3 linked regions of the Struthio camelus genome follow. The protein of the gene in region 2 purifies or fractionates together with the protein of the main gene of each other region. This does not show direct contact. Links are inferred from orthologs where the notes say so. Each region holds a gene or a part of one and is shown on either strand. Other genes may lie near its edges. The genes, in order: MED25, MED9 and MED13L.

Evidence for each region.
Region 1: the proteins of MED9 (region 2) and MED25 purify together in Homo sapiens (co-immunoprecipitation; 3 studies listed by BioGRID and IntAct, with this or other methods). This does not show direct contact. The link is inferred for Struthio camelus from reciprocal best matches to the Homo sapiens genes MED9 and MED25.
Region 3: the proteins of MED9 (region 2) and MED13L purify together in Homo sapiens (affinity purification with mass spectrometry; 5 studies listed by BioGRID and IntAct, with this or other methods). This does not show direct contact. The link is inferred for Struthio camelus from reciprocal best matches to the Homo sapiens genes MED9 and MED13L.

Annotation. Positions count from the first base shown.
Region 1 is NW_027182651.1:79,660-83,400, forward strand, and holds the start of MED25 (mediator of RNA polymerase II transcription subunit 25), read left to right. Parts: upstream 1-1,134; 5' UTR 1,135-1,254; intron 1,255-2,803; 5' UTR 2,804-2,817; coding exon 2,818-2,945; intron 2,946-3,741. Other genes in the region: FUZ (protein fuzzy homolog), read right to left, coding at 71-169. UniProt on the Homo sapiens protein: Component of the Mediator complex, a coactivator involved in the regulated transcription of nearly all RNA polymerase II-dependent genes.
Region 2 is NC_090956.1:3,992,866-3,996,606, reverse strand, and holds the start of MED9 (mediator of RNA polymerase II transcription subunit 9), read left to right. Parts: upstream 1-949; coding exon 950-1,122; intron 1,123-3,741.
Region 3 is NC_090958.1:5,775,122-5,778,862, forward strand, and holds the start of MED13L (mediator of RNA polymerase II transcription subunit 13-like), read left to right. Parts: upstream 1-1,191; 5' UTR 1,192-1,327; coding exon 1,328-1,399; intron 1,400-1,644; exon of another isoform or gene 1,645-1,662; intron 1,663-3,741. UniProt on the Homo sapiens protein: Component of the Mediator complex, a coactivator involved in the regulated transcription of nearly all RNA polymerase II-dependent genes.

The sequences.
Region 1 (3,741 bases), on a different chromosome or scaffold from region 2:
TGGGTCCATCCCTGGACACCTGGGCCCCTCCCGGACGCCTGGGCCCCCCGGGGGGGGCGGAGCTCCTCACCTGTTGCCGGGCGGGGCCGCCCCGGGAGCGGCAGAAGAGGGGCACCCCGCTGCTGGCCGCCAGGCAGAGCAGGGACAGGGCCCCGCCCCCCTCTGCCATGGCCCCGCCCCCTCTCGCCCGAGCCCCGCCCTCTCCACCAGGCCCCGCCCCTCCCCTCAGGCCCTCTTTGCCTGGCTCCACCCCCTCAAGGCCCTGCCCTCCCCTACAAGCCCCGCCCCAATGCCCCACCCTGTCAGGCTCCGCCCTCCCCTACAAGCCCCACCCCTAAGGCACCGCCCTGTCAGGCTCCACCCTCCTCTATAGGCCCCACCCAATTCCCCACCCTGTCAGGCTCCGCCCTCCCCTACAGGCCCCGCCCCAATGCCCCACCCTGTCAGGCTCCACCCTCCCCTACAAGCCCCACCCCTAAGGCACTGCCCTGTCAGGCTCCACCCTCCTCTATAGGCCCCACCCAATTCCCCACCCTGTCAGGCTCCGCCCTCCCCTACAGGCCCCGCCCCAATGCCCCACCCTGTCAGGCTCCACCCTCCCCTACAAGCCCCACCCCTAAGGCACTGCCCTGTCAGGCTCCACCCTCCTCTATAGGCCCCACCCAATTCCCCACCCTGTCAGGCTCCGCCCTCCCCTACAGGCCCCGCCCCAATGCCCCACCCTGTCAGGCTCCACCCTCCCCTACAAGCCCCACCCCTAAGGCACTGCCCTGTCAGGCTCCACCCTCCTCTATAGGCCCCACCCAATTCCCCACCCTGTCAGACTCCGCCCTCCCCTACAGGCCCCGCCCCAGACCCCTCAGGCCCCGCCTATCCCTCAGGCTCCGCCCCCTCAGGCCCCACCCCCTCCAGCCCGGCCCTGTCACTCAGGCCGTACCCGGCCCCCTTCCCCCCTCCTCCCCCCACTGCCGCTGAGGCCCCGCCCCCGCGCCCCGCCCCCGCTCTTGGCCCCGCCCCCGGTGCCGGTGCCGGTGCCGGTGCCGCCGCTCAGGCCCCGCCGGCCGCCGCCATGTCCGGCGCGCTGGCGCCGCGCGGCGCCTGCCGGGAGCGAAGCGGTTGCCGCGGCGACGGCGGGGGAGGCGGGGCCAGGGCTCGCCCCGCCCCTCCCTCCCCGCGCATGCGCGGCGGCGGCGGGCGGACCGGAAGGGGAGCAGTTCCGGCAGCCGCCGGCTCGCGCCGAAGAGGAAGTGGACGGTACGGTGGCCGGCGGGGGGGGTCTATGGGTGCCGGGGGGGGGTCGAGTCGAGGGGGTCTATGGGTGCCGGGGGGGTCTAGAGGGGTTGAGGGGGCCCATGGGTGCTTGGGGGGGTCTAGAGGGGTTGAGGGGGGTCTATGGGTGCCGGGGGGGTCTAGAGGGGTCTAGGGGACCCATGGGTGCTTGGGGGGGGTCTGTGGGGGTTGAGGGGGCCCATGGGTGCCGGGGGGGTCTAGAGGGGTTGAGGGGGGTCTATGGGTGCCGGGGGGGTCTAGCAGGGTCTAGGGGGCCCATGGGTGCTTGGGGGGGTCTAGAGGGGTTGAGGGGGGTCTATGGGTGCCGGGGGGGTCTAGAGGGGTCTAGGGGGCCCATGGGTGCTTGGGGGGAGTCTGTGGGGGTTGAGGGGGGTCTATGGGTGCCGGGGGGGTCTGTGGGGGTTGAGGGGGCCCATGGGTGCTTGGGGGGTCTAGGGGGGTTGAGGGGGCTCATGGGTGCTTGGGGGGGGGTCTGTGGGGGTTGAGGGGGCCCATGGGTGCCGGGGGGGCCGAGGGGGTCTGTGGGTGCCAGGGGTGGTTGAGAGGGTCTATGGGTGCCGGGTGGGGTCGAGGGGGGCCCATGGGTGCTGAGTGGCTATATGGGGGTCGAGGGGGTCTGTGGGTGCCCGCTGGGGTTGAGGGGGGGCTTATGGGGATCTATAGGTGCCAGGGGAGGTCAAAGGGGTCCTATGGGTGCTGGGGGGGGTCTGTGGGGGTTGAGGGGGCCCATGGGTGCTGGGGGGGGGTTCTATGGGGGGTTGAGGGGGCCCATGGGTGCCGGGGGGGTTCTTTGGGGGGGTTGAGGGGGTCCATGGGTGCCGGGGGGGTTCTATGGGGGCTGAGGGGGTCTTTGGGTGCCCACTGGGGTCGAGGGGGGGGTTATGGGGATCTATAGGTACTAGGGGAGGTCAAAGGGGTCCTATGGGTGCCAGGGGGGGGTCTGTGGGGGTGGAAGAGTCTATGGATGCCGGGGGGGGGTCAAGGGGGACCCACGGGTGCTGGCGGGGTCTGTGTGGGTCGAGGGGGTCTATGGGTGCCAGGGAGGGTTCATGGGTGCTAGGGGTGTCGAGGGGGGCCCATTGGGGTCGAGCGGGTGTATAGGTGGAAGGGGGGTCTATGGGCCTTGAGAGGGTCTATAGGTGCTGGGGGGGGGTCCATAGGGGTCTAGGGGGGACTATGGGTGGGGGTTCTATGGGGGTTAAGGGGGTCTATAGGTGCCGGGGGAGTTGGGGGTCCATGGGGGTTGAGGGGCACCTATGGGTGTCGGGGGCACCTATGGGTCCTAGGGGGGTCCCTGGGGGCTGAGGGCGGCTCATGGGTGCTGGGGAGGGTTAAGGGGGCCCCATGGGTGCTGGGGGGGGGAGAGGAGGACTGAGGGGAGTCCATGGGTGCCGGGGCGGGGGGGGCCTCACACGTCAGGCGAGAACTGTGGGTAGAAGAGAGTTTGGGGGGGGGCACGTGGGTGTCGGGGAGGGTCCCATGGGTGCTGTCCTTTTCCCCCCCCCCCCGCCAGCACCCGCGGGGGCCATGGTGGTGCCGGCGCTGGAGCCCCCCCCCGCCATGGTGGCCGACGTGGTGTTCGTGGTGGAGGGCACGGCCAACCTGGGCCCCCACTTCGAGGCCCTGCGCAAGCACTACCTGCTGCCCGCCATCGAGTGAGCCCCCCCCCCCCCCAAAAAACCTGCACCCCCCCCCAACACCCTGGGGACCCCCTCGAAACTTTGGGTGCCCCCCCGAAACCCCGCGGACCCCCCTGAAGTCTCTAGGACCTTCCTAAACTCCGGGAATTGCCCCCAAAACTCTTGCTGCTTCCAGGGGGCTCCAAATTTTGGGGAGCCCCCCCCACAAAAAGCTCGGGGCCACCCCAAATCCCAAGAGATCCCCCCTCTCAAAACCCAGGGGGGGTCCCCAAAGCCCTTTGAGCCCCCCCCAAAACCTTGAGGGCCCCCCAAAAAACCTTGGGGACCCCTCAAAACCTTGTAGGTGCCCCCAACCCCAGGTTTCCCCCCCTTAAACCTTTGGGGCCCCCCCAACTCCTAAAGGATCCATCCAAAATGATGGAAAGTTCCCCAAAACTTGCTTGCATCCCTTGAGGATCCCCCCAAGCCCCCTAGGGACCCCCCAAAACTTCTAAGATTCCCCCCAAACCCTTAGGGACCCCCCAAAACTCCTCAGGGCCGGCCCAAACCCCTGGGGACCTTCTACAACCCCCCCTTGAAACCCCCTCAATTTCTTGGGGATCCTCCCAACATTCTTGGCCCTCCCCACCCTCAGGGCCCCCCAAACCTCAGGGACCCCCCTCAAAAACACCTGGAGCCCCCCCAAACCCCATGATGCCCCCCAAAATCCTCTAGAATCTCCCCCGAACCCCTGAGAACCCCCCCAAACCACTCACCCCCCCGAATATTTGGGGCCCCCCAAACACCAAGGACCCCCCCAAAGTGTCTGGGG
Region 2 (3,741 bases):
GTGCAAAATGCTAGCATTAGTGCAAAAAGCTAGCCAGACACAGCCAAACCCTGCTGTCCTGAGGACTGCAATAGTTATTGGTTCTATGGAGAATGATGCAATTTTTGCTCTAAGAATTAATACAAAAGAGGGGGATGTGCACAGGGATTCAGGAAATCAGACTGCTCTCGCTAAGGGGCTGGGAGCTGCCCCTGGGGGCAGTGCAGCATGCTGTTATTGGGACCCCCTCCTGCTCTTCGCCCTTGGGTTACGGGATCCCCCACTCTGTCCTTCCTCCAGCTTCCCACCTTCTGTGCAGAGCTGGGTCCTGCGCAGGACAACGCACCCCCAGCTGGGAGAGAACAGCTCAGCTCCAGCCTTCTCCTGCTGGACCACCCCGTATCACCCGCCTCGCAGGACGGCCAGGCGCGCAGCAGCCCACAGCCCGTCTCAGTGACGGTGCGGCAAAGCTGCTGCTCCAGCCCCACCCCCAGCCTCAGATCCCAGGCCCCAGCTGCAAGTTCAGGCCCAGACCCACACCGCAAGTCAGGCCCAGACCCAGGCCTGAGACCTCAGCCCTGGCCCCAGACCCAGGCCCTGGCCGCAAGTTTAGGCCCCGGCCCCAAGTTCAGACCCAGGCCCCGGCCCTGGCCCAGGGAAGAGCCTCAAGTTCAGGCCCCGGCCCCGGCCCCGGCCCCAGGGAGAGCCCTAGGTTCAGGCCCCGGCCCCGGCCCCGGCCCCGGCCCCGGCCCCGGCCCCGGCCCCGGCCCCGGCCCCGGCCCCGGCCCCGGGAAGAGCCCCACGCTCAGGCCTCGGCCGCGGGCCCGGGCTCACACCGCAGCTCAGGTTCAACCGCCCGCCCCGGGGCCGCGCATGCGCAGTGTGGGCAGGGGGCGGGGCGGGGCAGGCGGAGCCCCGCCCCGTGACGTCACGCGCGGCGCCGGCGGCGCGGGCCGGGGCCGGGGTCGCCATGGCCTCGGGGGGGGGCACCGGCCGCGCCGCCGAGGAGCCGCCGCCGGCCGAGCCGCCGGCCGAGCCGAAACCGCCGCTGCCGCTGCCGCCGCCGCTGCTGCCGCCGCCGCCGCCGCCGCCCGGGCAGGAGGAGTTCTCCTTCCTCCCGCTCGTCCACGACATCATCAAATGGTAACGGCGGGCCCGCCACCCCGCGTGCCACCGGGCCCGGTCCGTCACCGGCGCCTCGTCACGGGGCCCGGTCCGTGTCACCGGCGCCTTTTCATGGGGCCCTGGGCCTGGTCCGTGTCACCGGCCCTCGTGACGGGGGTCCGGTCCGTGTCACCGGCCCCTCGTCGTGGGACTCTGGGCCTGGTCCGTGTCACCGGCCCTCGTGACGGGGCCCAGTCCGTGTCACCGGCCCCTCGTCGTGGAACTCTGGGCCCGCTCCGTGTCACCGGCCCCTCGTCACGGGGCCCAGTCCGTGTCACCGGCCCCTCGTCGTGGGGCCCGGTCCGTGTCACCGGCGCCTTTTCATGGGGCCCTGGGCCTGGTCCGTGTCACCGGCCCTCGTCACGGGGGTCCGGTCCGTGTCACCGGCGCCTTTTCACGGGGCCCTGGGCCTGGTCCGTGTCACCAGCCCTCGTCACGGGGGCCGGTCCGTGTCACCGGCGCCTTTTCGTGGGGCCCAGTCTGTGTCACCAGCCCCTCGTCACAGGGCCCTGGGCCTGGTCCGTGTCACCGGCCCTCGTGACGGGGGTCCGGTCCGTGTCACCGGCCCTCGTCGTGGGGGCTCTGGGCCTGCTCCGTGTCACCGGCCCCTCGTCGTGGGGCCCTGGGCCCGGTCCGTGTCACCGGCCCCTCGTCATGGGGGCCCAGGCCTGGTCCATCACTGGGCACCTCATGGTGGGTGCACTGGGCCCAGTCCGTGCCACCAGCCCCCTCGTCCCGGGGGTCTGATCCGTGTCACCAAGCCCTCGTCATGGGGCCCCGGGCCCCGTCCGTGTCACCGGCTCCTCGTCCCGGGGGCCGGTCCGTGTCACCGGCACTTCGTCCCGGGGGCCTGGTCTGTGTCACCGACCCCTCGTCCTGGGAGTCTGGTCCGTGTCACCAGCCCCCTCATCATGGGGGCCTGGTCCATGTCACCAGCCCCTCGTCCTGGGGCCCTGGGCCCGCTCCGTGTCACCAGCCCCTCGTCACGGGGTCCGGGCCTGCTCCATGTCACCAGTCCCTCGTCATGGGGGCCCGGGCCTGGTCCATCACTGGGCACCTTATGGTGGGTGCACTGGGCCTGGTCCGTGTCACCGGCCCCCTTGTCCTGGGGGACCAGCCCTGGTCCGTGTCACCGGCCCCCTGGTCATGGGGGTCCGGTCCGTGTCACCGGCCCCCTGGTCTCGAGGGTCTGGTCCGTATCACCAACCCCTTCGTCCCGGGGGTCCGGGCCCGATCCGTGTCACCGACCCTTCGTCCCGGGGGTCCGGCCCTGGTCCATGCCACTGGCCCCCTGGTCATGGGGGTCCGGTCCGTGTCACCGAGCCCCTCGTCCCGGGGATCTGGGCCCAGTCTGTGTCACCAGCCCCTTGTCATGGGGGCCTGGCCCTGGTCCATCACTGAGCACCTCATGGTGGGTGCACTGGGCCCGGTCCATGTCACCGGCCCCTCGTCCCGGGGGTCCGGTCCGTGTCACCGGCGCCTCGTCCCGGGGGTCTGCTCCATGTCACCGACCCCTCATCACAGCAGCCCGGTCCGTGTCACCGGACCCCTCGTCACGGGGTCCGGGGCCGGTCCGTGTCACCAGCCCCTCGTCCTGGGGCCCCGGGCCTGGTCCGTGTCACCAGTCCCTCGTCATGGGGGCCTGGGCCTGGTCCATCACTGGGCACCTCATGGTGGGTGCACTGGGCCCGGTCCGTGTCACCAGCCCCCTCGTCATGGGGGTCTGGGCCCGGTCTGTGTCACCAAGCCCTCGTCACAGGGCCCAGGCCCAGTCTATGTCACCGGCGCCTCGTCACAGGGCCCTGGGCCCGATCCATGTCACTGGCACCTCGTCATGGGGGTCCGGGCCTGGTCCATCACTGGGCACCTTATGGTGGATGCACCGGGCCCGGGCCTGTCACCACATGCCTCGTGGTGGGTACACTGGGCCTGGTCTTGTCATCAGGCACCCCTCATCATGGGGGCAACTGGGTCTGGGCCTGTCACCGGGCACCTCATTGCAGGGGCAGCCCTGCACCAGGCCTGCTCCCCATTCCTCTGCCCAGGTGCCTTATCCCTGCTCCGGCCCTTCTCCGTCTTCCCGATTGCGGCCTCCTCCTGCGCGCCCTGGACAGGGAGCAGGGCAGTGGGACCTTCCTTCCCCACAGTGATACTCTTTGACCGCCCCCAGCGTTTCCTTTGCTGCAGACCCCCTTGTTCTCCTGACTGGGGTTGCTGGGGAAGGTGTTACAGGGAGGTGGCGTAGTCCCACACGCGGCTCCGTGGTGAGCCACGCCAGTACATGGCAGCGTACGGATGATCCAGGCGATGCAGGTTATTCTGATGGCCCAGGTACGCTGCCCCGTTGTTATACACCCTCGAGCAGAGAGCATTGGACTGGTGCTGTGTTATTGCCCCAAACTGCTCTACTGTTTGGCTGATAACAGCCTCAGAAAGTACAGGCAGTCCCAGCACAGAAATGCAGTCCATTTCTAGGGTGTTGTAAAGAGGAAGAAGGCTTTTACAGTGGTGGAGGTTGAATTGTTCTCTTCCTGGTTCAAGATCAGTTTTAGGGGTAAAAGGTACTTGTACATGGGTCCTGAGGGGTGTGGTGTTCCC
Region 3 (3,741 bases), on a different chromosome or scaffold from region 2:
CCGGCGGGAGCCGCACGGCCGAGGCACCGCGGGGTTGGGGGGGGGCGCGGCCCGGACCCCCCCCCGCCCCCCCCCACGGCCGCTCAGGGCAGGCGCCGCGCGGGGACGCCGCGAGGTTCGCGGGGTCGCGAGGCGTCGAGGGCGGCGGCGGCGGCGGCGCCCGCCCCCTCCCCCCTCCCCCCGCACCGGCGGCGGCGCCGCGCTCGCGCTCCCGCTCCCGCTCGCGCTCGCGCTCCCGCGCGCCCCCAGCGGCCCGGCGGGCGCCGCGGCGGGGTGAGGGAGGGGCCGCGGGAGGGAGCCCCAGCGCCGGGCCCCCGCCCTCCGGCGCGCGTCACGTGGGGCGGCGGCGGCCAATGGCGAGGCGCGCTGCGCCTGGCGGCCGCCATTGCTGTCAGAGTGGCGAGAGGCAGAGGCGAGTGTGTGAGGAGGAGCTGGTGAGCGGGGCCGCTGGGCGGGCAGCGCCAGGCGGAGGGTGGCGAAGACGGGCAGGGACAGTGCTCCCTCTCCGGGCCGCGGCTGCCGCCCGCCGCCCGCAGCGCCGGGGGCCCCGCACGGAGCGTAAACAAGGCGGCGGCGGCGGCAACAGCAGCAGCAGGAGGAGGAGGAGGAGGAGGAGGAAAACACCATCCACCCGCAGCCAGCGGCGGCAGCAGCGAGGGGCGGCCGGGCGGGGAGGGAGGGAGGGGACACGGCCTCCGCCGGCCCGCGAGACAGCGCCCCCCCCGCGGCCGCCGCCGCCGCCCGGGGCCCGCGACCCTCCCCCGCCGCCCGCCCGCCCGCCCGGCCCGTGCGCGGTAGGGGCCGCCGCCGCGGGGGGGCCGCCGCCCTCGCCCCCCCTTCACCGCAACGTGCGCCCTGAGCGGGGGGGGGCCCGACCTGGACACGGAAGCGGGGCCCCGGGCGCCCCCCCCCTTCTCCTCCTCCTCCTCCGCCCGGCGGTGCCGCGGCGGCCTGGAGCAGCGCAGGAGGCGTCGCCCCGCGCGGCGCCGAGCGGCCGGGAGCGGAGCGGCCGCGTAGCCGGCCCGCGGGGGCCCCTGCCGGGCCGCGCCGCCCGCCCCGAGCACCGTTTGGCGGGGGCCGGCTGAGGAGGAGCGCGGCCGCCGCCGCCTCGGCGCCCGCCCGCCCGCCGCCGGGGCGCCGTCCGCCCCCCCCCCCCCCCCCGCCCGCCCGGCGCCCCCTGCCGGCCGCGGCCGGGGGCAGGACAGCGGCTGCCGGCCCGGCGACCGCAGGAGCGGGCTGCGTCGCGGAGTGGCCGGTGCTTCTCCCTGCCTGCCGGGCCCGTCTCCTCAGACATGCCCCGCTCTGGCGGCCGGGCTCGCCGAGGATCATGACTGCAGCGGCGAACTGGGTGGCGAACGGGGCCAGCCTGGAGGACTGTCACTCCAACCTCTTCTCGCTGGTGAGTGCCTGCGTGAGCCCCCGCAGGGGTGGGCGGCGCGGCAAGTTTGCCGGCTGGGTGCAGCTGCCGGGGGCTTTATAGTCGGGGCCCGTGGGGCTGCTCCTGCGCTGGCCCCTCCCCCGGCTCGGCGCCCCGTGTTTATTTTGCTCTTTAACGTGGCTTGCCGCGAGTGTGCGTGTGTTCCTCGCACAGCTGCGTTCGCCGGGCTGCGGGAGTGCCTGCGTGTCTGCGTGTGTGCCCGGCATGTGCGACCATCTTCTCTGGTAAACAGTCTTTTCTCCCCGCCTCCCTTGGCACTCCGTGCCCTGGTGCTTTGTGCCTACCAAACTGTGGGTTTTTTTTTTTTCCTCCCCTCTTCTTCTTTCATAATGGCAAACGCCATTTCAGCAGCAGCGAACAGTTTGCGTAGCGTGACTGCCTCTCGGACTTACCTCTGGGCTCTCCTGACTAGATGCCAGCTGTTTTGACCCTTCTTTGAACAGGTTGTGGTTGGGGACAAGAGATTTAAAAAAAAAAAAAAGAAGCTTTTAATTTTTTGTTTTCAGAAGAAAAACGGTAGCTGAAAATGTAGTATGCTGGATAGCTTGATGATCTAGGTGCTGTCATCCCCTCTGGTTGGTAACTGACAACTTGTACTTGCATTGCATGGTATAATTTTACAAAAATCGTGGTATCAGTTGTGACTAGCTACAGGGTCTGTATGAATTTAAAACAAGAAAACCATTAGTTTTTGTATAAAGGCAATGTCACTTGGAAATGTCTTGCTTTATTTTACCGGCCACCTGCAGCAACCTTATCCCTTCAGAGCGGACAACAGATCAGCGAGTGACAAGACTGTTAGATCACCAACAGTCTTCTAGTGCTGCTAGGGCCAATGTCTAGGGGAAGGAGGGATTTTTTTAATGCGTGTTATAGTATAGTTAAAACAAAAACTTGCAGTGTAAGTTTGGGGATAAATGTATGAAAGATTTGTGGTGGATAAAACCCTTTGCCCTCCCCAGTGCTCTGTAAGAATTGAAGGTAGATACATATATTTGATTTTTTTTTTCAAAAGAAAGGAAATGACTGTTATTGCATTTATAAGAATTAAGGAAAAAAGAAAGTGAATTGAAAATGCAGATGATCAGTCTTTTTGCTGTGTGATGGCCTATCATTCTTCTGCCTCTGTTTTCTTTAATTTGTATGTGTGTGTTTTTTATGTGGCTTGTATCTGTTAAGTATCTGGGACAAGGGCCGTAGTCTATGCCTGTGTGTTCTGCTAGGAAGCTGGCCTGGAGATTCTTCTGTGAGAATAAATAAAATTCTTATTTTGGCTTTTTATTGAACAGTTAGACATTATTTAGGCTCATATTTACGTTTCTGTTTGTGATAGTGTTTTCTGATATTTAGAAGTATATAAGAATGCTGCAGGAATTGTAATGGTGATTTTTTTTGAATACACTGGTCTTACACACTAAGAAAAATAAAATGATAAGCATGAGGGAGATGGTTGTATCTGATTGCAAGAGCAAGATAATGGATAGTTACTCTTTCACAAAAAAAATCAAATTGTGCAATCCCTATTAATTCATGGAAAATTGATTAGCATGTTTTCGAGAAGCATAACTTTTCATGTAGTTGCAATCCACAAATCTGTCACTGGTGAAATAATGTTGGTGCTCAATTAGCATAAATTATAACATTAAGTTATTTCATGGTTATTGTGGTTGCATCTATCTATTCTGTTTTATTTCACCGTACTAGGCTGAGGAAACATTGAAAATTTTTAAATGCACCTGTAATATTGGTGAAATAAATTTTGCAGAGTTCTTTTGAAAGTGTTTTAGTAATAGGTCTAATCTGCAACCCTAAATCTCCCATGTAATTTTGTGGGAACTAACCATACCTGTGAAGTGGTGCTATGTACGAAACTATAATAGTTTTATTCTTTTCTGGCTCTACTTGCAAAAAATAACTGATGAAATAATATTTTTATATAAGCACGTATATACAAACACAGTAATTATTAGGGTGATTTATTTCCAATAGCATTAGTATTCATTAGGCCATATTTATCAATGAAAGTCTCACCGTATTGAGAAAGGAAATACTGATTGGAAATATCTGGTCAGAAGCATTGACCCTTTAACCTCAAATTGTCATACTTGTCTCAAAACTTACCATGTGTTAAAGCTACGGTAGTCTGGATTACTAATTAAAGACGCTCTTGCTGATTACTTACTTTTTCAATGCAACAGAACAAAAACATGCACAAACTAATCAACTGTTAACGGGGAATCGTCCGTTCTTTAGGAACGAGGTGGATTGCAAAGCTGTATTTAAACTGATTCTGCTATTAGAAT